Regions from separate parts of the Mus musculus genome. Here regions 2, 3, 4, 5, 6 and 7 are each reported to be linked to region 1. The links are microRNA targets in miRTarBase. Many come from high-throughput screens and were not tested one by one. Region 1 holds a microRNA gene; each other region holds the end of a gene's coding sequence.
What was found. The annotated mature microRNA mmu-miR-15a-5p reads UAGCAGCACAUAAUGGUUUGUG and lies in region 1 at 2,956-2,977, shown strand. An mRNA with a match to its seed (bases 2 to 7 or 8) in the 3' UTR can be bound and repressed. Matches are read on the target gene's strand: a 7mer-m8 pairs with bases 2 to 8, a 7mer-A1 pairs with bases 2 to 7 and ends in A, and an 8mer does both.

Region 2: the mRNA of Pfkfb4 is a reported target of mmu-miR-15a-5p. The part of its 3' UTR that is shown has no 7-base or 8-base seed match.
Region 3: miRTarBase lists Cx3cl1 as a target of mmu-miR-15a-5p. Seed matches in the 3' UTR shown: 7mer-m8 at 3,152-3,158.
Region 4: the mRNA of Atp7a is a reported target of mmu-miR-15a-5p. Seed matches in the 3' UTR shown: 8mer at 356-363, 8mer at 610-617 and 7mer-m8 at 3,793-3,799.
Region 5: the mRNA of Pik3r1 is a reported target of mmu-miR-15a-5p. Seed matches in the 3' UTR shown: 8mer at 10-17.
Region 6: the mRNA of Polr2m is a reported target of mmu-miR-15a-5p. Seed matches in the 3' UTR shown: 7mer-m8 at 850-856.
Region 7: miRTarBase lists Ankrd13b as a target of mmu-miR-15a-5p. Seed matches in the 3' UTR shown: 8mer at 1,467-1,474.

Annotation. Positions count from the first base shown.
Region 1 is chr14:61,630,986-61,635,051 of GRCm38, reverse strand. It overlaps Mir15a (microRNA 15a), which reads left to right and starts at 2,942; the gene lies at 2,942-3,025. It overlaps Dleu2 (deleted in lymphocytic leukemia, 2), which reads left to right. Exons shown (of 7, transcript NR_028264.1): 4 at 2,569-2,615. Mir16-1 (microRNA 16-1) reads left to right here and starts at 3,080; the gene lies at 3,080-3,172.
Region 2 is chr9:109,029,781-109,033,846 of GRCm38, reverse strand. Pfkfb4 (6-phosphofructo-2-kinase/fructose-2,6-biphosphatase 4) reads right to left here. Exons shown (of 14, transcript NM_173019.5): 14 at 1,622-3,518. The coding sequence ends at 3,459. Among named protein-coding and RNA genes, the nearest start is that of Shisa5, 6.8 kb to the left of the region's middle.
Region 3 is chr8:94,779,902-94,783,967 of GRCm38, reverse strand. Cx3cl1 (chemokine (C-X3-C motif) ligand 1) reads right to left here. Exons shown (of 3, transcript NM_009142.3): 3 at 1,541-4,066. The coding sequence ends at 3,412. Gm51543 (a long non-coding RNA gene) reads left to right here. Exons shown (of 2, transcript XR_003947437.1): 2 at 1-2,867. Among named protein-coding and RNA genes, the nearest start is that of Gm51543, 4.0 kb to the left of the region's middle.
Region 4 is chrX:106,124,275-106,128,340 of GRCm38, forward strand. Atp7a (ATPase, Cu++ transporting, alpha polypeptide) reads left to right here. Exons shown (of 23, transcript NM_009726.5): 23 at 65-3,886. The coding sequence ends at 341. Among named protein-coding and RNA genes, the nearest start is that of Tlr13, 17 kb to the right of the region's middle.
Region 5 is chr13:101,681,075-101,685,140 of GRCm38, forward strand. It overlaps Pik3r1 (phosphoinositide-3-kinase regulatory subunit 1), which reads right to left. Exons shown (of 16, transcript NM_001077495.2): 16 at 1-3,995. The coding sequence ends at 3,806. Among named protein-coding and RNA genes, the nearest start is that of Pik3r1, 85 kb to the right of the region's middle.
Region 6 is chr9:71,475,857-71,479,922 of GRCm38, reverse strand. Polr2m (polymerase (RNA) II (DNA directed) polypeptide M) reads left to right here. Exons shown (of 4, transcript NM_178602.3): 4 at 383-1,486. The coding sequence ends at 526. Among named protein-coding and RNA genes, the nearest start is that of Polr2m, 8.1 kb to the left of the region's middle.
Region 7 is chr11:77,468,204-77,472,269 of GRCm38, reverse strand. It overlaps Ankrd13b (ankyrin repeat domain 13b), which reads left to right. Exons shown (of 15, transcript NM_001373882.1): 15 at 447-1,785. The coding sequence ends at 675. It overlaps Coro6 (coronin 6), which reads right to left. Exons shown (of 10, transcript NM_139128.2): 6 at 3,900-4,004; 7 at 3,664-3,809; 8 at 3,303-3,360; 9 at 2,983-3,213; 10 at 1,787-2,891. The coding sequence ends at 2,769. Among named protein-coding and RNA genes, the nearest start is that of Mir12181, 2.7 kb to the right of the region's middle.

The DNA.
Region 1 (4,066 bases):
GGGGGACGGTAAAATTTAAACAGTTATACCAGGTTCTGAATTTTGGTGGGGTGTATATTCATTTTCTTTGTCTGAGACAGCTTATCTGCCTAGCCTTGAATCTGTATAGTAATCCTTCTACCTCCATCTCTAGAGTGCCAAAATTATAGGCATGTTCCACTCACAACACTTAGCCACCCACCTGGTTTGGGTAGGAATTTAAATTTGCAAATATAACAATCTGATACAATGTGATTTTTTTTTTCACTTTTAAGCATAAATGCACTGGGATAATATCCTCAGAACATTTAGTGTGAATTATTGTTGTCATCTTCTGTTCTGAAATTTGAGCTTTTTAAAGTATGAGTGTTCTGCCTTCGTGTATGTCTGCAGTGCGTGCTGGAGGAAGTGCTTAGGCTCCATGTGGGTGCTGGGAACTGAACCTGGGTCTTTTACAGCAACAAAATGCTCTTAACCACTGAGTAACTCTGCAGCCTTGCAACTTGAATTTCAAAAATTTCCATGTAAAAAATGAGCAAATTGAAATACATATTCAGTTGTCAGTGATCACCATACCTGACTTGGCCTAAACAATCAGTTTAGTTTTCCTTTCATAGCCATTAAATAAAATTTGGGTATGTTGTTGTTGTTGTTGTTGTTGTTGTTGTTGTTGTTGTTGTTGTTAGAACAATTTCTTTTTCAAATATGTTACATAAGCTCATTTTCCTAGAAAAAAATCACATGGAAATGGAATTTTTAACTATTTAGTAGTATGCCCTACAAATGATTCTGTCACTTTTCACATATCAAATTTTAGAACTAGGAATTTAAAATGTTTAGAGAAGAAACAGTTCCAAAGATTTTATAGTGGCATTATTGCCACATCAAAGATATTAACATACCCAGCTTTTAACTTCCCAAATTTGTTGCAGTATTTCATGCCTTTAGCTTTGCTATTTAAGTAGATTTTTTGTGCCCTGAGAATTGTTGCTCTGTCATCAGAACTTAAACCTGGTAGTGTTTTCTCCATGTTCTTAGACAACTTCATAAGATGGCTATGGTTCAGAAGCGTCCTACAAAGGCTTATATGTATGTTAATGGTTCATTTGCAGATAGGGAACCAGAAAGGGTCAGTGTACTAGAATAACAGCCATGGGAGACACTCAAAGGACAGTGTCAGGGTTCGGACCTCAGATTCTGTATTCTGTCATTGTGCTCCAACAAATTACTGGTTGCTTATTATTAAATTCAAAAAGTATCCCATTATTCTGATGCAGTCAAGATGATGATATAGCTTGGGCAACATGCCTATAAATGTTTGTGAAGTGCTAAGCTTTATGGAAACAAGATGAATTAATATTAGAAGTTTTATAAGGTAAAAAGTAAATGTTTCTAAAGAAAAATATTAATGGAAACAAATAGAGTTGAAGGGGGAAATAGGACAATTTGGTTTGATCTATCTTCTTAAATTGTTGTAAAATTCTGTTTTCTTATACGAATAATATTAATTTCAGGTATTTAAAGATTGCCATGTATTCCTATGTACACTCAAGTTACCTTCTTAAGCAAAACATTTTGTTTTCTTTTCAGAATGGCTTTTTTTTCCTTTTAAGAACATTAGTAAAAAGTTGAACTATGTAAAAACCCAACAAAGAAAAATTATTTTGGTCCTTAGGCCAGAATATAAACCACTGAATTTGGAACGGGGCATGATGGTGCACGCCTTTAATCCTAGCATGCAGGAGGGAAACCAGGCAGATAGATCTCTGAGTTCCAGTCCAGCCTGGTCTATAGAATGAATTGCAGGACAGCAGCCACTGTCCTCAAAACCTCTCTCAAAAAACCACTGAATTTGAAATTATAATCATTGTATAAAGATAAAGGACAAAATCACTTTTAGCAGCTTTTATCTTTATTTTCAGACTTTTTTTTTTTAAGCTGGCACACTTGAAAGCAAAGGTTTGAAGATTTAAAGACGTTTTGATATTTCAAATGACCCAACATGAACGGGAATGGAGAAATGGCATTGACCCACTAGAAAACATTTGCTACACAGTAATCTAGTTTGAATGGAAAATCTGGTATGAACTGGAATAATAAGAACAGTTCTTTGTGAAGGGATGGCTAAGTCCCCCACTAAACAGAAAAGAGTCTTCTTAATAGTGTAAGAAAACCTAGATATTCACACACACATAAAATGAAGTTGGAACTTAACGTAGTAAAAATTTTGTTTCAGCTAAGTCAAAGTCCTGTGGTATAAAATGATACTCCTTTAAAGGACTAGCCTTTTTAACTGGGAAACACACAAATGGTTACTTAGGCTTGAGCTACAGGATTTCTGATATATCCTTTTAGGAAACCAAATAGACCTGTTATCCTAAGATGATGTTCTGGGTAATAATAAATGACACTGAACTCACAATAACTATTCCAATATTGAGATAAATCTTGTGTTCATGTGTAGATTGGGGGTTATATATTTTTGGGGAATATGTTTCATGTGTATGTCTTCTAAATATTTTGCTAGTATAAATTTCTTGAAACTGAGCTCTTACATGTTTGTTCTTACATGTTTCCTTTAACATGAAGCTTTGTCCTATGGATTTGGCTTTGAAAGATGTGCTGCTCTTAATAAGGTAAAAACCAACTTTTGTAGCTATTTCATGTGTTAAGCACATTCAAAAGTTGTTAGTTTAATAAATGAGGTTCTTAAGTTGGTATGGGAAAATGACTTGCTTTTCTCGTTTCATGACTACAATAAATTACAGCACTGTATTAAGTTTTCTGTACGCTTTTATTAAACTTATGATATGGAAATACTTTTTATTCTGCTGAAAGCCTATAAAATTATGCACATACCAGTGTTAGATTTTTTTCAAACATAGATTTTATGTGTTCTACTTTTTCCTAAAAAGCCTTTTCTGTAAATTACTATTGAGGTGCTAGGAGTTTTCAAAACCAACCCTTGGAGTAAAGTAGCAGCACATAATGGTTTGTGGATGTTGAAAAGGTGCAGGCCATACTGTGCTGCCTCAAAATACAAGGACCTGATCTTCTGAAGAGAGTACCTGTCTTTTTATTCATAGCTCCTATGATAGCAATGTCAGCGGTGCCTTAGCAGCACGTAAATATTGGCGTTAAGATTCTGAAATTACCTCCAGTATTGACTGTGCTGCTGAAGTAAGGTTGGCAATACTCTACAACTGTAATTCAATGTGTATTGATGTTACTTGTGTGTTTACACGGTTTTTCTAATTGCATTAGTGATTTTATGTTTGGTATGATTCTGTAATGATGTTAGTAACAACGCTCTACATATTGTGTCTGTTAAAATACTATATAATTGTGGGATGGTAATGCAGCTCAGTTGGCCAAGTGCTTCTTGCTAGCATGCACAAGGCCATGGGTTTTAGCCTTACCACTGCATACCAGGTACACTTGTAATCCTAGATCTGAGGAAGTGGAAAAAAGAGAATTAGAGGCTTAACATCATCCTTGGCCATAAAGCAAGTCTAAGACCTATGTAAGGATCTGTCTTTTAAAAACAAACAAAACATAATGACTTCTGTGTGAGGAACTGATTATAGGACTTCTAGATACCCAGATTTGTAAATGCTTGGATCTCCTGTATAAAATGTCTGCTCGTGACCAGTGCATATCCTCCCTTATACTTATTTAAACTTATCTCTACATTGTTTTTAATGTGTAGTGCAGTGGGATGTTAACATGGATAGTTGTATTATTCAAGTTATTCTCTTAATGATGAGAAAAAAACTGTACAATTCAGTACTAATGCAGTTTTTGTCCAAGAAATAAGTTTTTTGGTTTGGTCTTTTGAGCCTGGGTCTCACCATGTAGACCAGGCTGCCATGAAACTCACTGAGATCCTCTTGCCTCCGCCTCCCAAATTCTTTGTTTAAAACTGTAGGCCCCAATGCCTGGCCACCCAAATGTTTTGAATGTGTGGTTGGTTGGATCCACAGATGGAGCACTGACTAATAATATAACAAGTATTTTTAAGTCTTGAACACCTTTCCAGAGTTTCTTGAGAGCTACAGTGGTACAGAATATACCCAGTACCACCAAG
Region 2 (4,066 bases), not on the chromosome of region 1:
ACACAAACTCAAAAACAAACACACAAGAAGATATCTGCTTACCTTTTCAGTTTTTTATTTTGTATTTAGGAGGTCGAAAGCTGACAAAAGGGGGAGCCTGATGTTCCCTACTGACTAACTGGGGTCTCCTGTAGACCAGGCTGGCCTCAAACGCAGAGATCTACCTACCTCCGCCTTCCAAATTGCTGGGGTTAAAGGCGTAAGCCATCACCACACAGCCAATTATTTTATGTACACAGTGTGTATGCCACCTGTAGGGGTGAGCTGCGTTTACAGGCAGCGTGGAACATCGTGTGTGCTGGGAACTGAACTCGGGTCCTCTGCAAGAAGAGTTCTCTTCATCACTGAGCATCTCGCCAGTCCCTCGATAATTATTTTCAGGTGGTAAGAGCTCTGACTGCAACTCACAGACTTTAATGAGGTACAGAGAAGCCAGATACTCCTGTGGAGCCTAAAATGATAATCTAGGAGAGAAGATGATCAGAATGTGGGCAACTACTGCAGCCATTTTTGTTTGTGGTGTCGGGTTTCAATCCCAGACTTCTAGGCAAGAAATTCCTTTTTGCACTTATTTTGAAGGTAGAGCCAAGGTCAGCTGGAATTTTAGAGGCGAGTATGCAAGAGAGGCAGTGAGTGCCATCTCCTGTGTTCATGGGGACATCTAGGTGTGGAAGTTGAGGGATGGGAACTAGGGGTCAGCAATTTAGCTGAAGTTTTGTGTAAATTAAACTTGAGGTGGATGGTATATATGTAAACAAACAAACAAACAAATCCTTTAGAGCCTTTAGCACTCCACATTGAGACGAAAGACTCAGAAAACCAGGCTTGGTTATAGATCCTAGGCTGGGGATAGTTCAGTAGGTTTAAGAGCCCTGGCTGCTCTTCCAGGTTCGTTTCCCAGCACCCACATGGCAGCTCAGAACCAACTGTAACTCTAGTTCCAGAGGATACACTGTTTCTCCTAGCCTCTGTGGGCACCCAGCATGCACATGGTGAATAGACATACAGACAGCCAAATGCCCATACATAAAATAAAAATAACTAAATTTTAAAAATTGAGAGCAAGCGATCGAGAAAGATAAGATTGTGGAGTTAGAATAAGAATGGCCCCAGAGGCTCATATATATTGAATGCTTTGTCATGAGGGAGTGGCCGTACTTGAGAGGGGTTAGGAGGTGTGGCTTTGTTGAAGGAAGTGTGTCACTAAGGTTGGGGTTTTGGGGTTTCAAAAAGCCCATTCCAAGCCCAGAGTCTTTCTCTTCCTCCTGCCTGTGGACTCTTGGTTATGTCTCCAGCACCGTGTCTGCCTGTGTCCTACCATGTTCCTGTCATGATGAGAACGGACTAAACCTCTGAAAGTGCAAGCAAGCTCCAGCTGACTGAGGCCGTGGTGTCTCTTCAGAGCAGTAGAATGCTGATTAAGAAAGACATCCCTCTGCCTCTGCCTCTGCCTCCAGAGGCTGAGACTGCAGTTGTTTGCCACCACACCTGGCTGTGTTCTTCAGGGGGTACCTGGGCAGAAGCTGACTGAAGGATTCCAACACACACACACACACACACACACACACACACCCCACAGAACAAGTTACAAAATATCAAATACCACCTCATATTACTGTTGTTGTTTTTGTTTGTTTGTTTTGTTTTTTAAAGTATTTATTGCAAAGAATGCTGGACACAGTGCAATGCACAAGTGAAAACCAGGATAATACATTCTAGGGAAAGCAGGAAATGTAGGCAGTCCGCCTGTGAACCCCTGAACCAACTCAGCTAAAGCCTGACAACCAGCCCCCCATGCGACTGCCTTGCGGAAGCCACTTCAGGGGCTGGAGGGAGGGGCTGTTCCAGCACAACTCCTGCTCCACTGACATCCCTCTGCCCCCACCCTGGGCTCTTACACCTCTGGGTCCATCAGTTCCTGCTTTCCCGGGGCACAGAGGAAAAAGGCTTTGGTGGTCTTTGCCTCAAGCTGCATCCAGCCATTATCCACAGTGGCCGACCACAGGCATCTGCTATGGCTAACAAGTGTCCAGATGATATGATGAACGTCACTCAGACTCTGAGGGACACGGGGCAGAAGCTGCAGGGCCCATGTCCCGAAGGCAGTGGTATGGTCTTCCAGCTCCGAGCTAGGACATGGAGGTCTGAGGAGATGAGCCCAGGAGTCCCGCCCTAGGCCCGCACAGACAGCAGTTTGGAATAATGGCACTGACTTCTCAGGGGCAGATGGCAGCTGCAAGCTACACAGCCCAGGACTGGCAGGGCTGGAAAAGGTGGACTATTCTGCCAGATTTGGGCTTTGAACGGTTCTTGGATGCAGGGCATGGCTTCCCCATGGCTGCTCTGTGGACACTAGAGCAACCAGTTACTGCTGTAGAAAGTTTCTTGCCCTGCTCCACAACCTGCCTATCACCTTGCTGGTCAGCTGAAACATGGAGCCTGACTCTGCTATGTGGACCCACAAGAACTCGGGGCATGGGAGGCACCAGGCTTCATAAGGCTGTTTGCACTAGGACTCAATTTGTACTTGAATCAAAACTAGAGTGGGGCCAGCGACTCCTCCTGGGGTCTGGGCTGCCTCATGCCTTGTCCTTTCCTTCCTCAGTCCTACAGGTAGAGGCCAGCAAATGGGAAGACAGTCCGACAGGACCACCAGTTCTGAGCCTCTCATGACAAAGGCATGTCCCCGTTACCAGTGTACAGTTCTGTGTGGACAGTGACAGCAACGGCCAGGTAGGGGAGACCAGTTTCCATAAGCACTTTGGTGTGTGCACCAAGAAGGTACTTCCTAAAGCTGCCCTGCCTTTACAGGATCCCCCGAAAGAGAATTTAGGACGAGGCAGCCTGGGCCGCAGCTCTCCTGTATTCCAGTGTATAACTTGGTAGACGTTAGGAATGGGCGCCACGCATGGTCCTTTCCACACTTACTCTCCTGAGTACCCACAGATGCAGAGGTTAGATGTGGGTAGAAGCTCCCTGCTCCATCTTCTGTTCCAGGCAGGGAAGGAAGGGCTTTCCACTTCACCTGGGGTGGTGTCCACATAAGGCCCCATGAAGATCAAGCCTCTGGCTCCAAGAGTAGCTATGGAGAGGGCAGTAGAACTCTTCCAGGGGTTGCCTGGCCCCCATCAGGCAGCAGGGCCACAGTGGAATGTCTTAGTGAGAGTTTTTTGTCTCAGTGTCTCATTTAAGGTTGCAAACGTCATGAAGCAGCCAGCCTGGTGAGTGGACTGCTCGAGTGCTGTAGCAGAGGGGCTGGCAGCAGAGCACATAGCCCAGGGATTCTCAGCAGCCATACCCAACCTGTCACTGGTGGTCAACAAAGAGGCCGGTGGGCCAGGCTGAAGGTTCTGAGTGTTGCTAGCCACCCATGGCTTCAGGAGTGTTCCTGCATGGTGGCACCATCAGTACAGCAAACACAAGATGGCCTGGAGTGACCCCTCTGACAGAGGTCAGGGTCACTGGTGAGCAGGGACTGTGACAAGGGCTTCCTCTGAAGGCCTGGATATGTCTACATTCTGCACAAAAACAAAGACAAAGACTGTTCACCCTGCACAGGGATAGACTGGACACTTCTGTTGCCCTGATCACTGTGGCCACACAGACACTCGGACTCACCTTGGTAACTACAGCTGAAAGCCCCTAGCCTGCCCTAAGCAGGATGTCACCATCAAGCACCACTTGATGGGTGCTCAGATGACAGGACAAGGGTGGGGTAGGGTGCTGCCCACTCCCCACTCCACTGCAAGCAGCCCAGGTGCTACCCAAAGCAAGGCCACTCAACCTCCCATGGGAGAACAGGTCAGCTGGGGAAAGAGAGAAGGTGGGGGTGGGGGGCTTAGCCCCTGAGTGCACCTCCTTCCTGGCTCTAGCAGCCTACAGACGTTTCCTAGTCTGTAATATGGTTCATCTCCACAGGACTGAACCACAGGGCCCTGTGATACCCCTGAAGCTCTCACTGTGAATGACCCCCAAAAGCTACATAGCCCAGTTCCAGCTTTGGCCTGCTGAGCTTTGGGTATCTTAGGCTGGGGAAACGGGGATTTAAGACTTCCCTCGGTTCCAC
Region 3 (4,066 bases), not on the chromosome of region 1:
TACTTATTTTTATTTCACAAGTATGAGTGGGTGTCTGCCCGTGTGATGGTGCCTGGAGTGTCAGGGGAGGGGGAGAGTATCAGATCTCCTGTGAGTCGCTTGATGTGGGTGCTGGAAGCCAAACCTGTGTCTTCTACAAGAGCAGAAGGTGCTCTTAACTCTTTCCAGCCATCTCTCCAGCCCCTCGCTGCCTCCAATGTTTTTTTTTTTAATTTATTTATTTTATGTATGTGAGTACACTGTAGCTGTACAGATGGTTGTGAGCCTTTATGTGGTGTAGGACCTCTGCTCCCTCTGGTCAACCCCATTCGCTCCGGTCAGCCCTGCTCGCTCCGGTCAACTCTGCTCGCTCAACCCTTGATTGCTCTGGCCCAAAGATTTATTTATTATTATACATAAGTACATGTAGCTGACTTCAGACACACCAGAAGGGGGCATCAGATCTCATTACAGGTGGTTGGGAGCCTCCATGTGGTTGTTGGGATTTGAACTCAGAACCTTCGGAAGAACAGTCAGTGCTCTTAACTGCTGAGCCATCTTGCCATGCTGCCTCCAATTTTAAAACTACAATGTAGACACTGAGTCTAAGATGTTATTGATAGAAAGATGTTCTGACATTTAATAACTGTAGAATATGTGCCATTTTGCATTTTACTAATAAAATCTAGCTACTCAAGCGGTTGAAGGCAGGAGGACTATAAGATCTGCTTAGGCCAGTCTGAGCAACTCAGACAATGTGTCAAAACAAAACATGAAGAAGAGAGCAGAGGGTGCAGAGGTCAGGAGTACAGCGCTTTGCCTTGCACGCCTGAGTCCTGGGGTTTTAGCCCTATTCAGAAGGAAAACCACATAAACTAACAAACAAACAAAAACCCAGCAGAATCACGGATAGCAAAGTAAATCCCAACTCTAACACATCACAGTGAGGGGGAAAAAAATGTCCGTTTTAGAATTCATGAAAGATTGTATACCATAGGCTGGACCTGACCTGAGATAACCCTGTGCTGTTTTCAACCTGCACAACTGTACGCTGGGACTCTAATGTTGTATATTGAAAAGCGGAAGGGCCGCTGAACGGCTCACACTTGGGTCCTATCTAGGAGCTTCCTGGTTTCTTGAGAAGAGCTAGTTAGTCCCTCTTCGTCTTTATACGAGTCAGGAATGAGTAGAGACAGTGTAGAGGAACATGTGGACATCATATATAAGTGACAGTAACATCAGGGTGGTGGCTCCTGGACACTGAGTAGGACCCACAGGGATCCTGAGTCTTGGCAGACCAAGAGATCAGTCACACCCACGTGCATAGAGGCCCAGGGAGGTGAAAGGTACCGGGTCACCATTACACACACAGAGGCAACACTGGGCCAGGCCAGGGTCCAGTTCTCCTCATTCCCATCTGCCTTCTGGGAAAATCCCTACCCCTGGTGCAAATGAGTTAGAGACCCAGGTCTTAGAACTTGTCCCCTCTCCTCTCCCATTCCCCATGCTCCCACCCCACCTCCACCCCGGCCGAGGCCTACCCCAGAGAAAAGTTCCCTGATTTAATTCACAAGACTTTAAAATTTTATTAGTAAAATACAAAATGGCACAGACATTGGTAATGATGCTTGAAAAAAAACCCTAAAGGATCAACAACTTTCAAAGTCCTCCTCAGATTGTTACGGCCCACATTCTGCTCTGGGAGGGAGGAACCAACAAAGTCCGATGACGGGTGTCCCAACCCTTAAAGGTTCCCCACCGAAGGAGCCAGGATATAGTGCACTCGGGCTGCTGCGGCTCAGGCCTACAACTGGTTCTGTGGAGCATGATCAGAGCCGCCCACAGGCTTCCCAGGAGGAGGGTCGACAAAGGGTTGGCTTCCTCACTCTCAGGAGCCAACTGAGCTTCCACCAATCAAGGAGTGAGTCACTGGCTTCTGGGTGAAGCTCGCCCCTGGGAGGCTCCTAAGGTGAAGTTGGAGCTATTCAGAGCAGGGTGGGTAGAAATGCCCCCCCCCCCCGAGGGGCGTGGCCTGCCGGCTCAGCTCCGCTGGGGTGCTGCTCAGCTGCTCCTTGCTTCAGCAGTCACTTTGCGCCCAGGGCAGAGTCCCTTCCAGAAAATGTCACAGGGCTCTTGGAGAATGCTATGGGAGTTCTGGCCCTGCCTGCAATGGGGGCAAAGGTGAGTCCTTGGCGTGAACACTGCTCTCAGAGACAGGAAAGGACCCTGGCAGCCTCTGTCTGACTATGCAAGTACACACATGCACAAGTCCCTACACTGAAATTGGGTTTGTGGCCACTCCAGGGGTTTACCCTGGATCCTCTGCCTCCGAGGGGCTTGTCCTAATCTTTCCTATGTGGCTTGTCCTTTAGCCAGGGCAGACCTGTGACTGTCACCTTGGTGCATGGGGGAGGGGTTTCTAGTGAGAACACAGGGGAAGCCATCTGAGTTGGCCTCTGTTCCTGCAAGTCCCCAACTCAGCCTCCATTTGGGGGGGGGGCATACAGGGTACGATCTGCACTCTCAAGCCACTCCTTGCCAGCCCTCAGAATCACAGGGTACAAAAATGTCAGTCCAGTGGAATGGCAGTGACTATTAATGTTGATAAGGGGTGGGGTTGCACCCAGGGGTGGAGACAAGGATCTCAGAGAAAGTGATGATGTCAGGGCCATAGGTTATTGCCAGCTCTGGACCACGTTTCTTTCCTTTTACAGGTGGGGCACTTTGTGGTGCTGGTAGCCGAGTGGGGACTGGACCCTTCCTTCAGACGCAGCATGCCTTCACAGCACATCCAAGTCTGGGGAGGAACACTTTAAACCCTCTCGCAAGCTTGTCTCCCTTCCCGGAGAGCTCCAGAAAACACAGCTTTAACCTCATGCAAGAAAAGACACAACAGCGGTGTTGATGGTGATGGTGGTGCGCTCTGTACAGGGGATAGAGGGAGACATAGGGCAGATAGCACCGCAGCTGGCCGGGGAGGAGAAGGGCTGGCGACTGCAGCAAAGCCAGGAGACACAAGGAGGTCAGGGGGACAGGCAGATAGGCCTGGCCTGCTGCTTGTGATATGGGCGGACCACGGTGCGCGCGGGAAACAGGTGTCGTCGCAGGGGCTGGGAATCCAATAAATAATTGTTCACTGGAGTTGGGGTGTCAAGGGCCCCTCTAACCAGCCAGCAGCAGAGGATTCTTTCAAATATAGAGGAGCTGGAAGGTCACCTGCTCTGTCTCTGATAAGTGAATAGTGGTCTAGGGTGGCCTCCGGGGCCACCCCTCGGGGGAGGGGGGATTGGATGGAGCCCACAGCCCCTGGAGGGTCCAGCTTCTCCATTCCCATTTCCCCAGCGTGGATGAAGGTGGGTATGAGGATGGGGGGGGGGGTCCCCAGACAGCTGTCCGAATCACACTCTGGACACAGGCAGGCAGGCAAGCAGCTCACACTGGCACCAGGACGTATGAGTTACTGCCACAGCTACGGGGGACGTAGCGGAGGCCTTCTACCATTTCCCCCGCCATTTTGCGGGGACAGCCCTGAAGGCTCTGGTAAGCAAACATGGCCACCCCTAGGCAGAAAAGAAGACCAAGGAAAGCCAGTAGCCCCACTGCCTGCCTCCTTGTGGCTGCCTGGGTGTCGGGGACAGGAGTGATAAGCACACTCAGTTTCTGGGGATCTGCAGTGGCATGGATGGGTTCCTCTATCTTAGGAGCCTGGCTGCCCGAGGCCACCAGCTCTGGGCTGGGGGTCTCTTCAGAGGAGATGGGAGCCACTGAGGGGTGGACTGTGTTGCCAGGCCCCCTCTCCTGGAAATTATCAGTATGAACTGGGTTTATCTCCTCAGACCCTAGAGACTTCTCTGGACTGAGGTCCTGTCCCTGGACCCATGGGGGTTGGCCTTCGGACCCAACATTTTCCTCTGGGGTTGAAGGTGAAGTAGTGGACACCTGAGGAGATGGGGCTGTAGTGGAGGGGGACTCAGTAGCTTTTTCCTCAGCCCAGGAGCTAGATCCAGATTGGTAGACAGCAGGACTCGGCCAAACGGTGGTGGAGATGTCAGCCGCCTCAAAACTTCCAATGCTCTGAGGCTTAGCC
Region 4 (4,066 bases), not on the chromosome of region 1:
CACTTTTGTTTGTACGTACACCAAGCATCTACCTAACATCTGATTGCTTTAAATTTATATGCAGTTACAGGAAACCTACGTATGACAATTATGAGTTGCATCCCCGGAGCCACACAGGACAGAGGAGTCCTTCAGAAATCAGTGTTCACGTTGGAATAGATGACACCTCAAGAAATTCTCCAAGGCTGGGTTTGCTGGACCGGATTGTCAACTATAGCAGAGCCTCCATAAATTCACTGCTGTCTGACAAGCGCTCCCTGAACAGCGTTGTTACTAGTGAACCTGACAAGCACTCGCTTCTGGTGGGCGACTTCCGGGAAGATGATGACACCACACTGTAAAAAGCCTTGGGGGATGCTGCTAGTTAAAGTTCACGTGCACTGACACAGCACTTACGTTGATGTAGAAGGATCTTATGTCAATCTCATGCTCTTACGTGCAGGATTCTATCTGAGTTGTATTTGGTAATGGTGAAAATATCTTTCTCAGGGCAGGAGCTCTGAACCTGGCATTATCTAGAAGAAGTTCCCAGCAGTTTTTGTTTCATTAGCGATACAGAGGGGAGAACAGTAAGTTTAGAACAAGCTCTATAGTTAGAAGTTGCTAATGTGCTGCTAATATGGCAGATCATTTTTATTTGACCAAAAAAAAAAAAAAAGTGCCCAAAGACAGGACGATTAAAAATGTGAAGATTTGAGAGCATGATTTTGAAGGTATTCTTGAGCCTATATACTTGCCCCACTGGGGAGCAATGGTTTTCAAAGCACTGTACAAAGCACCTAGTTTAGAAGGAAAACAGTTGCAACTGTCTCAAAACAGATGTGCCTTATTTATTGTAGGCTTGCTTTCACCTCATAATTCATGTGTCATTGTCCTTTAGTTCCTAAGAGCCTGCAGGATGGCTTTTGTCACCTCCTTTCAAGTGAGCCAAGTTTAGGTGGTTTTTCCTTGATAAAAATAACTGACAACAATCACTTGGAATGAGGCAGGAGAATTACAAGTTCAAAGCCAGACACTAAGACCCTGTCTTAAAACATTTTCGTAGCTGGCAGCTCTTCTGAAATCTTACTTTTCTCATCCTACTGTGTCGTTCAGAAGACCATAAGATCTACAGGGTTCTGTACCCTCTTGTTTCTCCACTGTTGTCAGAAATCTCAAAATCTTCCTTCAGTTTCCCCAGCCCTGTGCTAGCTTTCAGTTCAGCTTTGTTCACAGTAGATGCAGTCTCTCCATCAGTCCCAGTCGAGAAACTTAGAACCTCTCTCACTGAAAAATTCTTCAAAGATTAACACTAATATATTAACATATACGGGCCATAGAAAAGTATGTGGTCTCATTAAATTCATCTTTTGGGATATAATCACTTGGCTGGTATATTATAATTTAATAAAATTTTAGTCGCCTCTGTTTTAAATAACTTATCAAAATGACTTTAAAATATTCTCATCGCACAGAGCTGCTTTTATCAAAATACACACCAAACTGTAATAGAGAAATCAGAATATTCCTGGTTTATGATATCTTGTAGTTAAGTATGTTGTTCTGTCATTCAAAATATTTGTGTTTATAAACTCTTAATCTTTTATTTTCATGTACTTTAAGCTACTAGCATAATGTCTAACATATAATTTGTGCTCTGAAAATGTTCATTTCTCCTTTTCAAGTCAATATTGAGTATAAAAATCATGTTTTATATTACTGGAATATAAAGTGAAATGGAGAATGGGTTTTGTCCACTCCACCACTTTTCTCTCTTATTCCTTCACACCCAACACCCACAAACGTTTACATTTTTCAATGCTGTCTTTCCAGATTTGGAAAAGACCTAACTTCTATCTTAGCTATCTTAGAGAGGTGAAACTTTTGATGAAGGTGCTATTAATCTAGAAAGGCAAACCTGTTTTAATGAAGTATGAATAAGTTTATATGCTTAAACTGTATTTTAAACCAATACTTATGCCGTCTTAAGAGTTTGAGTTTGTATATTTGTTTCTTAATTCTAGGAGATCATCATAATATAGCTCATTGGCTTCTAGAAGAGAGAGCTAAACTATAGATGTCCAGTAGTTTTTTCTTGCTCTGCATCCATGAGAACATAAGTCCCCCAGTCGTCAGCCAGTTTCTCCTTCTGTTCTGTATATGTTGTTGAGTCCTCCTCCTGCCTCCACATCAAGTTATAGGGCAGTGAGAACAGCATTTCAGGTCTCACTACCAGAAAAGAACCTGTTGGAGAGAGGCTGTATTCCTTAGAGAGGAGGGTCTTTTAGAGAGGAGATCAAGCACGTTACTTTCAGTTGGCCACTGGTTTAAGTAATGGGCCACTGCTCAGAACAGGTTTTGTAAGTGCATGTATGTGTGTGTATGTGTATGTATATACACATGTATATACACACACACACATACATGCATACAGAGAGAGACAGCCGGAGAGACAGAGACAGAGAGGGGGAGAGAGCATACATCTTTCGAGGTTCTTTATACTTTCCTTGCCACTCTTCTGAATTCACTCAGCAACCGTTGTCCCTGTCAGAAGGCGCCATGGACACTTTGCTGTCCAGTGCTAATGCGGATTCAGCTAGGGGCCACCTTTTAACTTAAATATCCAAAGATGCCTTTTGAATTTAAGATTAAAACACAGCTAGAATATTTACTCTTGTAGTTTGAAAAGGATAGTTGTTAGGTGTGAAATAGAAATGTTGCTTTTCCTACTTTAGTATCACCATTTTAGGAAGTTACATTTGATGCCTTATGAACAAATAATTTTATATTATGCTTTAATTTTTTAAAAATTTTCTTCATTCAGATAGATATAGAGAATGATTGAAATAGCACTATAGACACGATGTTTCCAAAAATGTGACTGTGCATATATTTTCTGTACACAGCTTAAAATCAAAAACGTATAGTAGAGGATTTTTCCATTACGTGTAGATTCTGTTTTAAAATTATTTTTCATATTTATTTTACTTATTTTACTCTACTTTGTTATTTTTTTGTATGAGGCATCTGGTTAAAGCTTAAGCTGCTTCTCTTCTTCCTCTTCCTCCTCCTCTTCCTCCTCCTCCTCTCCCTCTTCCTTCTCTTCTTCCTTCTCCTTTTTATACAGACATTCCTCATAATCACTCCTTTGAGTTATTTTGCTTTCTGTATTAAAAAACATACTTCTTTACCAAATATCGATAGATAGATAGATAGATAGATAGATAGATAGATAGATAGATAGATAGATAGATAGATAGATAGATAGATAGATTGATTCATGCCAAATCTTTACCAACTTTTACACTAACTTTCTTAAGTCCTTTCGTCTGGTATGAGTAGCTAGCTATAACACAAAGCATGAATTCTTATTTCTCAATCACATTAGCTTCTTTAATGATGTTGATAATAATTGACTTTTGTAGCCAGAGCCAGGTGTCTCAACCTTGTGTTTTTAAAGAAATGTATTATGAAATTTTGGTTAGAATCCAAAACAGGAGCGGGCAACTTTGTGCAATATTTCGTTTCTGTAGTTTAGTTTGTTTTTTCTCATGTGCATGTAATTGATATTTCTGCCGAAGATGTGCCTTCAACTTTATAATTATAGTGTTGTTTAAAAAAAAAATGTTGTCAAGTGTCGCTGTGTTAAGTCATCCAGCCCCCTCTATCAGCAGATCCACACTGCCCTCGCTGTGCTAGTGTGGTTGTCTGGCTGTTGTTTCAGCTGTAAATCCGTGCTGTGTCAGGATCAGAGGCAGCAGCCCACATTCAGGTAGGGGACAAAAATCTGTTGTCTCTCAGATCCCGCTGCCCTGCTGCTGTCACTTAGAACACGAAACAAAGGAATGTGCATGATCTCTTCTCCTTTGTAGTGTCTAATAAATTCTTGAGACGGTGTCTCCCCTCCATGAGCTTTGCTTGATTTGGGGGAGCCCTAGGTGCTGTGAAGATCCCATTTACTGCCTGAACTTTTTCTGGGGAAGTGTGAGTGAATGTCCGCTCACCGCAGATAGAGCACTAACAACAAACAGGCTTGCTGAGCCCGTGCATTTATTGGGCTTACCGGCAGGAACCTAAGTGACCCCCA
Region 5 (4,066 bases), not on the chromosome of region 1:
CTTCTTAAATAGCAGCATCCTGGGCAGCCAATGCTATCTCATGGCGACAAGCTCGGTATGAAGCAGGAGAGTCTTTCCAATGGAGCCAATTCTACCCTCTCCCTACCCCCAGTACTAGTTATTTTATATAATTATAGATTGTTGTAAGAAAGAGAAGAATTTGGCATTTTGGAATGTTGTCCCATGGGAGGCATTGTGCTTCTTAACTGCCCCTTTCTTAAATGACCCTAAATTCGAACAGACAACAAAACCCACTTTCCAACTGACTTGGATACCATGCATTGCGAAAGCACAGTTGAGAAAACCTGCAAGAACTTTCTCCCAATAAAGAACATCAGTAGGACTTCCCAAACAAGTTATAGTTCATAATCAGATATACGACAAAGCGATTGGTTCCCCACAATGACAGCTCACAGAAACACACTCTGACTTGACAACACTGAGAACAGGGATCCATCAGGTAAGCAAATCATCCAGGCTGCTCCCTGAAAGGGAAGAGCTTCTAAAAAGAGGAAAGTATCAAATGACGGACTTCTCACTTCACTTGTGGACAAATTGTACTTTATAAGACAAAACAAAGCAATAGCAAAGAAATACAGGAACACACACACACATACACACACACACACACACACATATACAAGACCTGTACTGGACATCTGCTTGTTATGTACTTGAACTTGACTGTGGATCTGCGTGGCTGAAAGGTGTATTGGAAACAGTCCATGCACATTATACATATATACATATATCCAGGGCTGTGAAGTTGTCAAATGTTGCAAAATATGCTTGCTGCCTTATCCCATGGCTATGATCACTCTGGTGTGGAACACAAGGTCCCAACCCTCCCACTTCTATAGTCTAGCTTAGTGTCTGGCTGTCTCTAGAATGGGACAGTTGGTGAGAAAACCTGAGTGGGCATGCTCACATCCCAGCTATGCTGTATCTATCTGCATTCATGAGCCACTCGGTGTTACTAGAAGATGGCTTGGATGGAATCCACAGAACCTTAATGGTCAAACCTCTCCAAGGACAGAGTTGGTGAGCATGCTAACCTGTCACCAAAAGGGCATTCAGTAGGACAGGTGTGCTATAACTCAATGACTCCTGCCTTCTGACACATGAAAGCTCTATTGTACTCACGTCAGTGAGATGAGAAATTCAGGCAACTGCCTAAGTTGCAAGTTATCTTGCAGAGAGTGTTGAAGGAAAAAAACAAAACAAAACAAAACAAAACAAAACAAAACAAAAAAAAACCACTTAACAGAACTTGTCACGAAGCAATCTCAGATCCTTTTTAAAAATTAAAGTTATTTGTATCTGATAGCATACATGATGTGCTACAAAAAGAAAAAGGAAAGAGAGAAAGGAAGAAGAGAGCAGAAGCCAACCACAAACCTAGCTTACAAATAAGTATTAACTCTTCAGTTGTATGTGGTGTGGCGGAATGCTACCGCTGGAGGTTGCAAAGCCCAGAGTCAACCCGGGGAATCAATTTCCTGGCAGTCAGGAGGTGGTCGGGTCAAGTTTGTGGGCTGACAGTCTGGTTGACTGACTTTTGCTCTTGAAAATGAGCAGTGGCTTCATAGGAAGAAAAACACATTCTACAGACCATTAACCCAGACACTGGACTGCAAATTCCAAGATCAAAACAAGAGCAACATTACAAGACCCCTTCCCCCCCCCAAATAAGGGAAGAGCTATAAAGCTGCAGGTGTGTCTGATATTGAGAAAGAGAAACTGATGATGGCTCATGAATCTACCTGGGCTGCGACAGGGACTACCATCAACCTCTACCCATCACAGCACATGGCAATTCCCCATGAACTCACCAGCTTTGACACATATACACTAGGGTGGGAAACTCGAACTTTTGTCCTGAATTAAAGATGTCACCAACTGCTCCCTTTGCACACCGTGATGTATGCAACATGCACAATCACGCTAATGAGAAGACCTGTCCGAACTGTTAAATGTTTGCACTTAACAATCTCCACAAAGCACAGTGACCACCCACTTGGGTCTACTTGCCTTCCATTCTAAACTGAACTCTGAACAGAGAGCTGGAAAAATATCAAGCATCCAACTAGATGCTGTTTTTTCAGACCATGATTTAGCCAAAATGAATGGTGACTGGCTGACTGCTGTGACTAGTCCAATGCTACAAAGAGAAAAGAACACATTTTCTAAATGCAGGGATTCAACCTTGAGACCAGTGTGTTACAACAACGAAAGAGGGCACATTCCAGGAACCCCAGAACAAACTCAGCACTTCATGACAACGGAGATGCTGGCCAACTGTGCTGGGATGGAGTTACAACATTAGGTCTGGAGTTGCTGTTAATTGCTAATGACTACCAAACTCAGATGGGGAAAGACAGGAGACAAACAGCCTGGCTCCTCCCTTCTCTGGGATCCCTAGAAAGTGCACACCACCTTACTTCCCCCCCTCCCCTTACCCCGCCTGTTACAACCCATGACTGCCTCCCCCTCCCTCCAGATTCAAGAAGTTCACAATTCATTAGGAAACAAACATTGCCAGGTACCGTATTTCAAGAGTCTTAACACTGTTGGACTCAGCAATACTTTGTCATATCATATATCATTTTCTTTTTCTCTTTTTATTGAATAAAGCAGCTTTGAAGCTTATCAGGGCCCTGCCCAACATTTAGTCCAAAAAAAAAAAAATCTGTTATGAACTTTTTAACCTTGGGCTAACAGCCAAGTATTCTGTACAAGAAAAACTGTAAAATATTTCATAGTTTTAATTCTTAAGCCATTCTCCTTTCTGGCATCCTGTACACTTCTTTAAAAAAAAAAAGTAAAAATGACAAAAACAAATATTAACAAAAATCAGGGACAATATTTTCAAGCAACAAAAACTGGGGTAAGGGAAGCTTATTCCAAAGGTGTATTTGAAACGGGTAACAACATAATAAAAATTAAGAATTGCATAGCGCTGCACGTTTATAGCCTTCAGCAAAACAAAACAGAAGCTATTTGGTATTGATACAAATCCATCTATTTGATAGTTAGTCACCCAATATTATGTACATATTTTATATACTGAATGTCACTGTAAGTCTCCTTCTCCACACTCTTTTTTCTGTTGGTGGGTTGTTGGTTGCTGACTTGATAAGTTTAAACAAAAACGTTTTCTGGTGTTTCATTTTTCCTCCGAACAGACTGCATCAATGTTCTCTCAAAGTGTCCTGCGTGAGCAGACGCGGCTCTCTGATACATATCATTCGCTCTTTTAAAAAGGAAATAATCCACAGTGTGATGTGTCTGGGTTCACCACACCCAGCGACACCCAGGCTACACCAGGCTGGACCAAGCGGCCCCAGGCGCAGGCTCTTCGGCCCTGTCTACCTTCTGGTCTCCAAAGTCCCAACTTGTAGCTGGTAAAGCTTCAGAAAGCGTTAACAAGCACCATGGTTAAAGGCCTCTTTGTCCCTGCACGGAGAGATTTTTGCATTTCTTTCTCTCTGTGTGTTGGTTGTGTGTTGTGGCTTTAAATTAGAAAGAAAGAAAGAAAGAAAGAAAGAAAGAAAGAAAGAAAGAAAGAAAGAAAGAAAGAAAGAAAGAAAGAAAGAGGATAAGGTTAGAAACGTCTGGTCATCCAACAGTCCGAGGCTGCGTGTCTTCCCCGACTTCTTTTTGTCCAAGAAAGCTCTAGTCCCATGTGCAGACAGCCGGCTTCATTTCTGCAGCTCAGTTCACAGGTCGGGCTGGAGAGGAGCCCTTTGCTTCTCAGAGGCCTTGGGTGGCTTGAAGGTGAGGAACTGGATCCGAGGGCAGCGCTTCATCGCCTCTGTTGTGCATATACTGGGTATGCTAGTGTGACATTGAGGGAGTCATTGTGCTGCACGAGGGAGGTGTGTTGATAATGTAGCACCAGCTCCTTCAGGGAGCTGTACAGGTTGTAGGGCTCGGCAAAGCCATAGCCGGTGGCAGTCTTGTTAATGACGCAATGCTTGACTTCGCCGTCTACCCTGGAAAGGGGAAGGGAACAAAAAAGTCTTTTTCAGTGGTTCTCAGATGATCTGGAATGCTGCAGGGTATT
Region 6 (4,066 bases), not on the chromosome of region 1:
TGGTGTGTCCTTCAAATCTAGAAAACATGATTTAGTCTAGAGAAGAAAGTCAGTGGAAGATGTCAGCACCACATTGGTGATTTCTAACAAAGGCAGGTGGTTCACTGCATACGCGACACTTCGTGTGTCTATTAATGGCTGCTGTAGTGCCAAGCTGGTTTCTCAGTGTCTTGTGTGGAGGTGAGCTGTTTTGATTGCAGCTGGGAACTGCAGCAGGCTGACAGCTCTCGGAAACATTGCCCCATGTCTTGACAGGACACTAATGTCAGCTGCTTGTGTTGCCAGAGAGACAGTGGGAGCCAATGTTCCTTTATTTCCGGTCCTGCCACATATCTAAGGGGAGCTGTGGATGTGTAACTTGGCCTTTGTGTTTGTTTTAAAGGAGATGCAGGCAAAGCTCGCAGCACAGAAACTGGCCGAGAGACTGAATATTAAAATGCAGAGCTACAATCCAGAAGGGGAGTCTTCAGGGAGATACCGAGAAGTGAGGGACGAAGCTGATGCCCAGTCCTCGGATGAGTGCTGAAGACAGGGCTGGGACACCCCGAGAGCTGGCTGCAGAGCTCTCATTGGCTCATCGAACTTCCTAACAAGTATCAAGACCAGCGTCAGACCTTGTTGAGGGACAGCAGGTTTTTAAGTTACACAAAGGTAGCTACAAAGTAAGAACCCAGTTTGTCTTTCAGAAGACGCTCTTCACAGCTTGCACAGTTTAATATGTGAACCTTGTATTTGGCCGTATTGTGTTACAGTTTTGCAGTATGTTGTGCATTGGTCTGATATTTTAGTGTGAGTAGAGCACACGTTTTCTTTAGCTGCATTTTCCTTATCTGTACTCTTATCAGATAGTGCTGCTTACACCCTTTCTGGTGAAATACTTTGTTACCCCAGGCACCTAAAGTGAATTAGGAAGGCCTGGTTCCCTCGCTCAAGAAATGAAGTGTAAAGAATGGTCCACGTGCCTGCATGGACATGTTCCTGAGATGCTGGATGTGAAACACTGTGGAAGACACTCAGAAATGTTACAGCAAGTGCATTGGCTGATCCTGTCTCTCTGGGGTGACTGCTGTCTTCCTAGGATGAGGACAAGGAGCGCTGAAGAGGTGCTGGGCGGGGGAGGGTCTTCTGAGCTGGTGTGGGGAGCTGCTCCTGGCCTCCCTTGGCTTGAACTCATTGCTGTCTCGATGATAGGTCCCTGTACAGGGCGTTCACGTTTGGTAAGGAAACCGATGTTTTTCTAAGAGTTACAGTTGACTTGTGAGTACATTGCTTTTTTCATTTTTAAACCCAAAGAGGTGTTTATAGGCTGCAGAAACCTCAGTCATGTATGTACACATTTGTGTTGTTTAAAATGATTATATGATCGTTTTGAGCAAAGATAACAGTATGTTATCAAAAGCCTTTGTCTATTACGTGGAACTTGTAAAGAAGAAATAAAATACCAATCAGAGCAGCTCCCCGAGCTCATGGCGATGTGTTCTTGGTACTTGTTTGAGTTTCCGTTCTTTAAAAGCAGTGTTCATACATGAAGTTGGACTGAAAACACATTTAGATTAGACACATACTGGGAAGGGCTTGATTCCATAGTGGATGCTTCTAGCTGTCAGCACTTTCCACATCTCTCCCATGAAGAAAAGGTTGCTGTAAGAACAGTATGGAACCTGTGGTTTTAAAACTGCTAATAGGTGATTTCAAAACACATTGTTTTATATTCCTTATCTGGAATGAACTAGTGCTTCTAGAAGGCTGTAAAGGAGAGACCACACTCAAGCATGCAGTCGCAGTCAGTCCCCCTTGAGCTGACCACTTAGTCTGTCAATAGTCGAGTGTACTCTGATCTGCTTTCTGTGTAGCCATTTTATATGTATTATCAGTTTGCTTCATGTTTTGCAAACATTTCCTGTGTTAAATGTTTTATATCTCAACCATCTCAACCACAATATGCATTTTATGGCTGCTCTATAGCTTTTAAACAGTTGGATATCTTATGAAATGATTATATAACCAGTGCTTGGTGATGTGCGCAACACCTTGGACGTTCATTACATCTTGCCAGTCCCCAGAGCTGTTCTAGAAATGAACTTATGTTGTTCTTTTCTGTGAAGCTGGGGGTTGAACCTAGGGCTTAACACAGGCTGAGCAGTGCTCTACCACTGAGCTACATCACCAGCATCAGTTGACCTGATTTTTGAGACAAGGTTTCACTAAGATGCCCAGGTTAGCTTTGACCTTGCTTTTCTGCTTCAAGGCTTATAGGCCTTAGCCATTAGACACACTTGAGAAGTGAAATTTCTAAGTAAAATTGCAGAGTTTTTGAGGGGCTTGGTGTATGTTACTCACTACAGAGGTTATTTATAGTTCTACTAGAGATAAATAATTTAAAGTTAATACTTAAAGGATATTTGTAAATTAGTGAAAATTTAAATGCCTTTAAAATAAAATACATTTATTAATGAAGGTTAGATTTTTTTTTTTTTTTTTTTTTTTTAGCTTTATAGGTTAGTGAAGAGCTTTTTTTTTTCTTCTGAGAATGGCATTATCCATTTGCAATCTTTTGGAGAGTTTGCCTGCTTTCTTTACCAGATCTGATGAATGAAGTGTCCCTACCCTTTTATACTTTGTCAGGCAATTATTTTTTAGTGGGTGGGCCAATTGCCTTTTAATATAACTGATGATGTTTGATTTTGGCTTTATCCAGGAGCCTTCCTTTGTTTGTGTGCTTTAAAAGACTTGGTTTTTGTTTTTGTGTGTCCATCCTCCCACCCCCACCCCGTCCCCCCATTGTCCTACCCCTACCCACCCCCTCCATGGCCTTACTTTGTAGCTCTGACTGTCCTGAAGCTTAATTATTACACGGACCAGGCTGGCCTCAATCTTAAGAGAGATCTACCTGTCTCTTGTCTCTTGAGTTCTGTTATTAAAGACATTTCCTGCCTTTTCAACAGACTTCTTAACCCAGCAATGGCTATTTGTCTCTTCGCTTATCTTCCCTGGCCCCCCATATTTTCGTTTAAAGACTTTTTTTTTCCCAGTTTTGTGTATGTGTGTGCATGTCTGTGAGAGTATACACATATAAGTGCAGGTGCCTGTGGAAGCCAGAAGAGGGCATCAGATTCCCTTGAGCTGGAGTTGGAGTCAGCTGTGAATTGGGAACAGAACTGAGTCCTTTGCAAGAGCAGTGTGGCATCTTAACTGCTGAGCCATCTTCTCGCCAATCCCTTTATTCATTTTTTATAGTTAATCTTTCAATGAGAAGAGAGTTTAATCTTTTGTTTCCATGCATCAACTCATTTAGTCTGAACAACTCTGGGGTGAAAGGGAAGCGTCTGCTTCATATCAGACCTCTGTGGACCCTGGCTGAGGGAAGAGTTGCACACTACTTCCTGCTGAATATGCTACAGTTGGTTCAGTATCAGAAGCCATCGTGTTTTCTGTTTTGTAAAAATAGGATAGGAAAGTCCTATAAAGATGCCTTTTATGTCTTAGGCCTATTTCTGTTGTTTTTGTTTTTACTGTTTTTTTCGAGATAGGATTTCTCTGTATAGCCCTGGCAGTCCTGGAACTCACTCTGTAGACCAGGCTGGCCTCCAACTCAGAAATTCGCCTGCCTCTGCCTCCCAAGTGCTGGGATTAAAGACGTGTGCCACCACGCCCGGCTTGTCTTTGTATCCTTACTGGTACATACACAGATAGATGGATTTTAACTTTCGGTACTCAAAGAGCTTAATATTTGTCTAGTTATATCTGCTATAAATATCCTCTGCATTTTGGGGTATTTTATCCTTTTTATGGTGTATTGCTAATAAACACTTGGGGTGGCAAATACAAATTTTTTACTCAGTGGAGGTTTTAAAATTTTTATTTTTACTATGTATGGTTTCTTAAAATGAATTCTTTCCTATTCTGAACTTATCAATTTATAGGCTTTTTTATCAATTTATTTTTATCTTATGTTTATGGGTGTTGTCTGCATGTATGTTGGCACTGCATATATACATTGTCCACAGAAGGCAGAAGAGGGCATTGGTTCCTCTAGTTACTATTCTGTTTCTTTGATAAAACACAA
Region 7 (4,066 bases), not on the chromosome of region 1:
GGTGCCTGTTCCCTCTCTTACCCCAGACCCACATGCACAGAGATCCTCACTAAGCCATCATACTGCACAGTGACACTGGAACCCTACTAGGCCCAGAGAACCCTCAGTGCCTTCAACACCTGGTATCGAGAACCCGTTATCAAGATGGCTTCTGCCAACCCCCTTTCCTGGCACAGGGAGGGTGGCCAGTGCTCCAGGCATGTGCAGAGATCAGGGACCTAGCTCCCTGGACCTTCAGACCCTCAACAACAGACAGGTTGGCGGGACCTGGGATCTGCCATCACTGGGTGGGGCCCAGACAGCCCAGCGAGACTCATGGCTTCCCCAAGAGGGTGGCAAGCCTGCCCAGCCCTGGGACCTCCACGATGTCTCCTGCCCCGCTTACGAGCAGGTGTCCCAGGTGTGCCGGGAGCGGGGAGCGCTCGACAAATCCTCCCCGCCCCCAGGAGCGCCCCACCCACGCCGCAGCGCCAGCCCATGCCCCCGGCTCCAGTGCCCAGCCCTCGGCCCAGCCCAGGTCCCGGCTCCAGCAGCCATGTGTTCCGGAGCTACGACGAGCAGCTGCGGCTGGCTATGGAGTTGTCCGCTCAGGAGCAGGAGGAGAGGCGGCGGCGAGTGCGCCAGGAGGAGGAAGAGTTGGAGCGGATCCTGCGGCTCTCGCTGACCGAACAGTAGCGCCTCCTGCTGGGACCCTCGCCCACTCCACGCAGGACCCGGGTCTGCGCACCTGCCGAGCGGCTGCTGGAGTCTGGAGCCATCGCATTGCGGGTGTAGCAGCGCATCAGGCTTGAGATGCCAGGGGTTTGATACAGGCGTGGAATCACTTTCCAGGCCAGAGCCCTAGAGGGGTGCTGGTCTCCCTGCTTTGCTGTATGGTGACCCCTAATCCGCTTCTCTGGGCTCAGATCTGTCCAAGGGCGGAGGCAGGTGGTATTGAAAAGGAAACGAATCCTTGAGAGGAGCACTGTCCCGTCCCTTGCTCCTTATGGCTGGTCCTCCTTCTTGCTCACTGACCCCTCTCCAGGACACTGTCCCTGAAGCCTTCGCATCTCAGCTCTTCACCCCTGGGAGGCAGCTGATCGCCCTGCGTGCTGTGTCGCGCTGCTTTGTCCCAGACACAAACCAGCACGTCAAGGGCCTAGCTCCTCCCCACCCCGGCATTTCAGCGTCAAGTGCACTTAGCGGGGTACCCAGCCCCCCCAGTCCCAACACCTGTCCTGTGTCTCAGGGTGGTCCTAGCTTCTCCTTAGGCAGCCAGGAATTGGAACCCCCATGCCCGCAGCACGTTTTTCTTATGATCAGGGAGTGTGCCTAAGGTGCCCCCTAGTTTGGGCAAGGCCTGGTTCCCTCACGGTGCCTTGGGGAATGGGGGCAGCATATTGGCTTGGGGGCAAGCACTAGAACCGACACAAAAGGGTTGATGAGGGCCCTGGCACCACTGTCACCACCCACCCCTTCCTACCAGCTGCTGCTAGCCCTCTGTGGTTGTGCACCCCTCTTGCCCCCATTCAGGGGCCGACTAACACCCTTTATCCAATGGTGCTAACCCCGGCTCTCCCTTTTCCACCCTACCCACCTAAAGAAGCACAGGCCCCACGAAGCAGGGGCCACACCCTTGTCCTGGGCTGCCTTCTGGCTGGCTTCTCTCTGCCAGGGGCTCAGAAGGGGCACAAAAGGGGGTCAAGAAAAGAGCAACAAAGCAAAATTGTTCTTCCTCTTCCCTTCCCTGATGCCAGGGGCACCAGACTGATTCTGAGGCACAAATAAAAGCGGTTTCAAACCAGATGCATTTCTACTTAACTTTATTGGGGAGAAGTGCCCACAGGGGTGGGAGGTGGGTGGGGTCTTGGGAACCTCAATGCAAAGATGGATGACCTGGGATAAAAAGCTGCCTGATGGGTCCTCAGTCCAGCTTGCATTTGCTAGGTCTCCTCAGTTTTCCAAAAAGGACTGAGGTGCCCCCTAGTTTGGGCAAGGCCTGGTTCCCTCATGGTGCCTTGGGGAATGGGGGCAGCATATTGGCTTTCTGTGCAGGAGGCACAGACTTGTACTTAGTGAAGTATTTCATTAGTAATGCCTCAGTGTTTCTATAAGAGTCAGCAGAGTGCTGGTGTGTGTGTGTGTGTGTGTGTGTGTGTGTGTGTGTGTGTGTGTGTGTGTGTGTTGAACCTGCTTCCGTGTGCCTGTTCTCCTGAGATTTCTCTGGTGGGGTCTGTTTGTCTCCAAGAAGCTGCCGTCTTTGGAAGTGAGAAGATGGGAAGAGCCCTCTGCCATAGAATTATGGTTGAAGCCAGTGGGTTAAGCTCTTCTGGCAATAGAAACAGGGTGCTGCTTATTAGGAGAAATATTGGAAATTTCCTGAGGTTCTGGGGATATCTGTTGAATCGCCATTCCTGTGAGGTCAGGCCTAGGCCCCTCAGCATCCCCAGGATCACGCTAATACTAAGCACTTCCCCTGCCCAGGGTAAGGGACAGAGAGGGACACCACCTCACCATGAAGCACCACTGCTAAGGCCACATTACCCCAGGCTTCCCCGAGGCCTGATCTTGCAATGTTTGGGGACCTAGTACGGAGCTCAGTCCCTGCCACTTAAGATCTGTGTGTTCAGGCCTCTTGTGGGAGATGGAGTTTCTTTTCTGATCCCTCCCCTGATTCCAACCCCACGAGGCAGGGTGCAGAGTTCCAGACCAAAAGCCGGTGCTGCCAGTCGGTGCGCCCTGCCCCATTGAGTCTGCAGTGTGCAGAGCTTTGCAGCGCGTAGGCAGTGCTAGTCTGTGCCGTCCACCAGCTCACAGAGCATGTTTTCCAACGCAGTGATGCGCTCCTCTTGGGCCTGCACTCGATCTCGGAGGGCCTTTATCTCCTCCAGCAATGTCTCCAGGGTGTGCTGCTGCTGGCATGTGGGAGACAGAAGAGACCATGGCAGAGAGCAGGAGGCAGGGGATAGAGTCAGGGTGGCGTGGTCAGATCTCAGAGCTTACCGACAAGGGGGCCTCGCTGGCGGACTGGCTGCGCCGAGGACTGGCCGGCGGGCGCACATCTAGGATGTTGCGTTTGGTGACCCGAAGCTCACGGTGTTTGGGGGGAACGTAGCCTTCCTTCAGCGAAATGAGCACAGGTTCTGCATCCTGACCTGATAGCCACTCATCAGCTTCCAGGGCAGGCTCAGGGCCAGGCGTGTCTGGGTATAGGTCATCCTGGAACAGGTCTGACTGAGGGGGTGGGAGGACAGGAGGGCCTGTATGAGCTGAGCAGTGGATGGCTGTTTTGATGCTTTCCAGCCAACGCCCTCCTTCCTCACCTTTCGCGGTACAGTCATGATGATGGGTTCACACTTTCGTTCGTGCAGCTTGTAGAACCTATGAGGGAGGGGGAAATTCAACATTCCTGCTGACTCCCCATCCTTTTTTAAAATCCCTATGTCTGTGACTAAGGTGTTGAAAGTCAACACCACGCCGAGTAATTACCATTCACACATTATCAGTGTTGGGTTAAAACACCTCTGTTGGAATGTCAGGCTAGTAGGACAATGCTGGGACTGTCACTGAAAAAGACTAGTATGGCTCCTTTCTTTTTTCCCCAAAGAACAGCACAATTAGGGGAAGCCCGGGAGCTGACATGAGAAATAGAGGCAGGGGGACAGGAGGGACAAAAGTGCTGACCTGGCGATTTCACATTTGCTGACATCCAGTCCCCGCTTGGGCATGAAACCCATACCCCGTTGCGGTTCTTTGCTGCTAAATGTGTTCAGATAATGCACGAAAGGTGGTTCTTCCGTAATTTCAAAGTACCGAATGCTACTGTCACCCTGCAAAACCAGCCAATTTAGATGGCACTGCCAGACAGCGTGCTCACATCTTCATCCTGGCCCTGGTTCTTCCAGCCCAGCCTCCAGCACCTTGCCACACAAGTAGACGATGCTGGAGTCAGGATCGTAGAATGGTAGTAACACTCCGTTGCTTGTGTCCATCTCCTGCAGGGCCACTGGCTCTTCGAAATTGTTCTGCCGAGCACAGGGAGAGTGACCAGCCCTGTTCTTCCTCCCGGGTTACATCAGAATTCGCT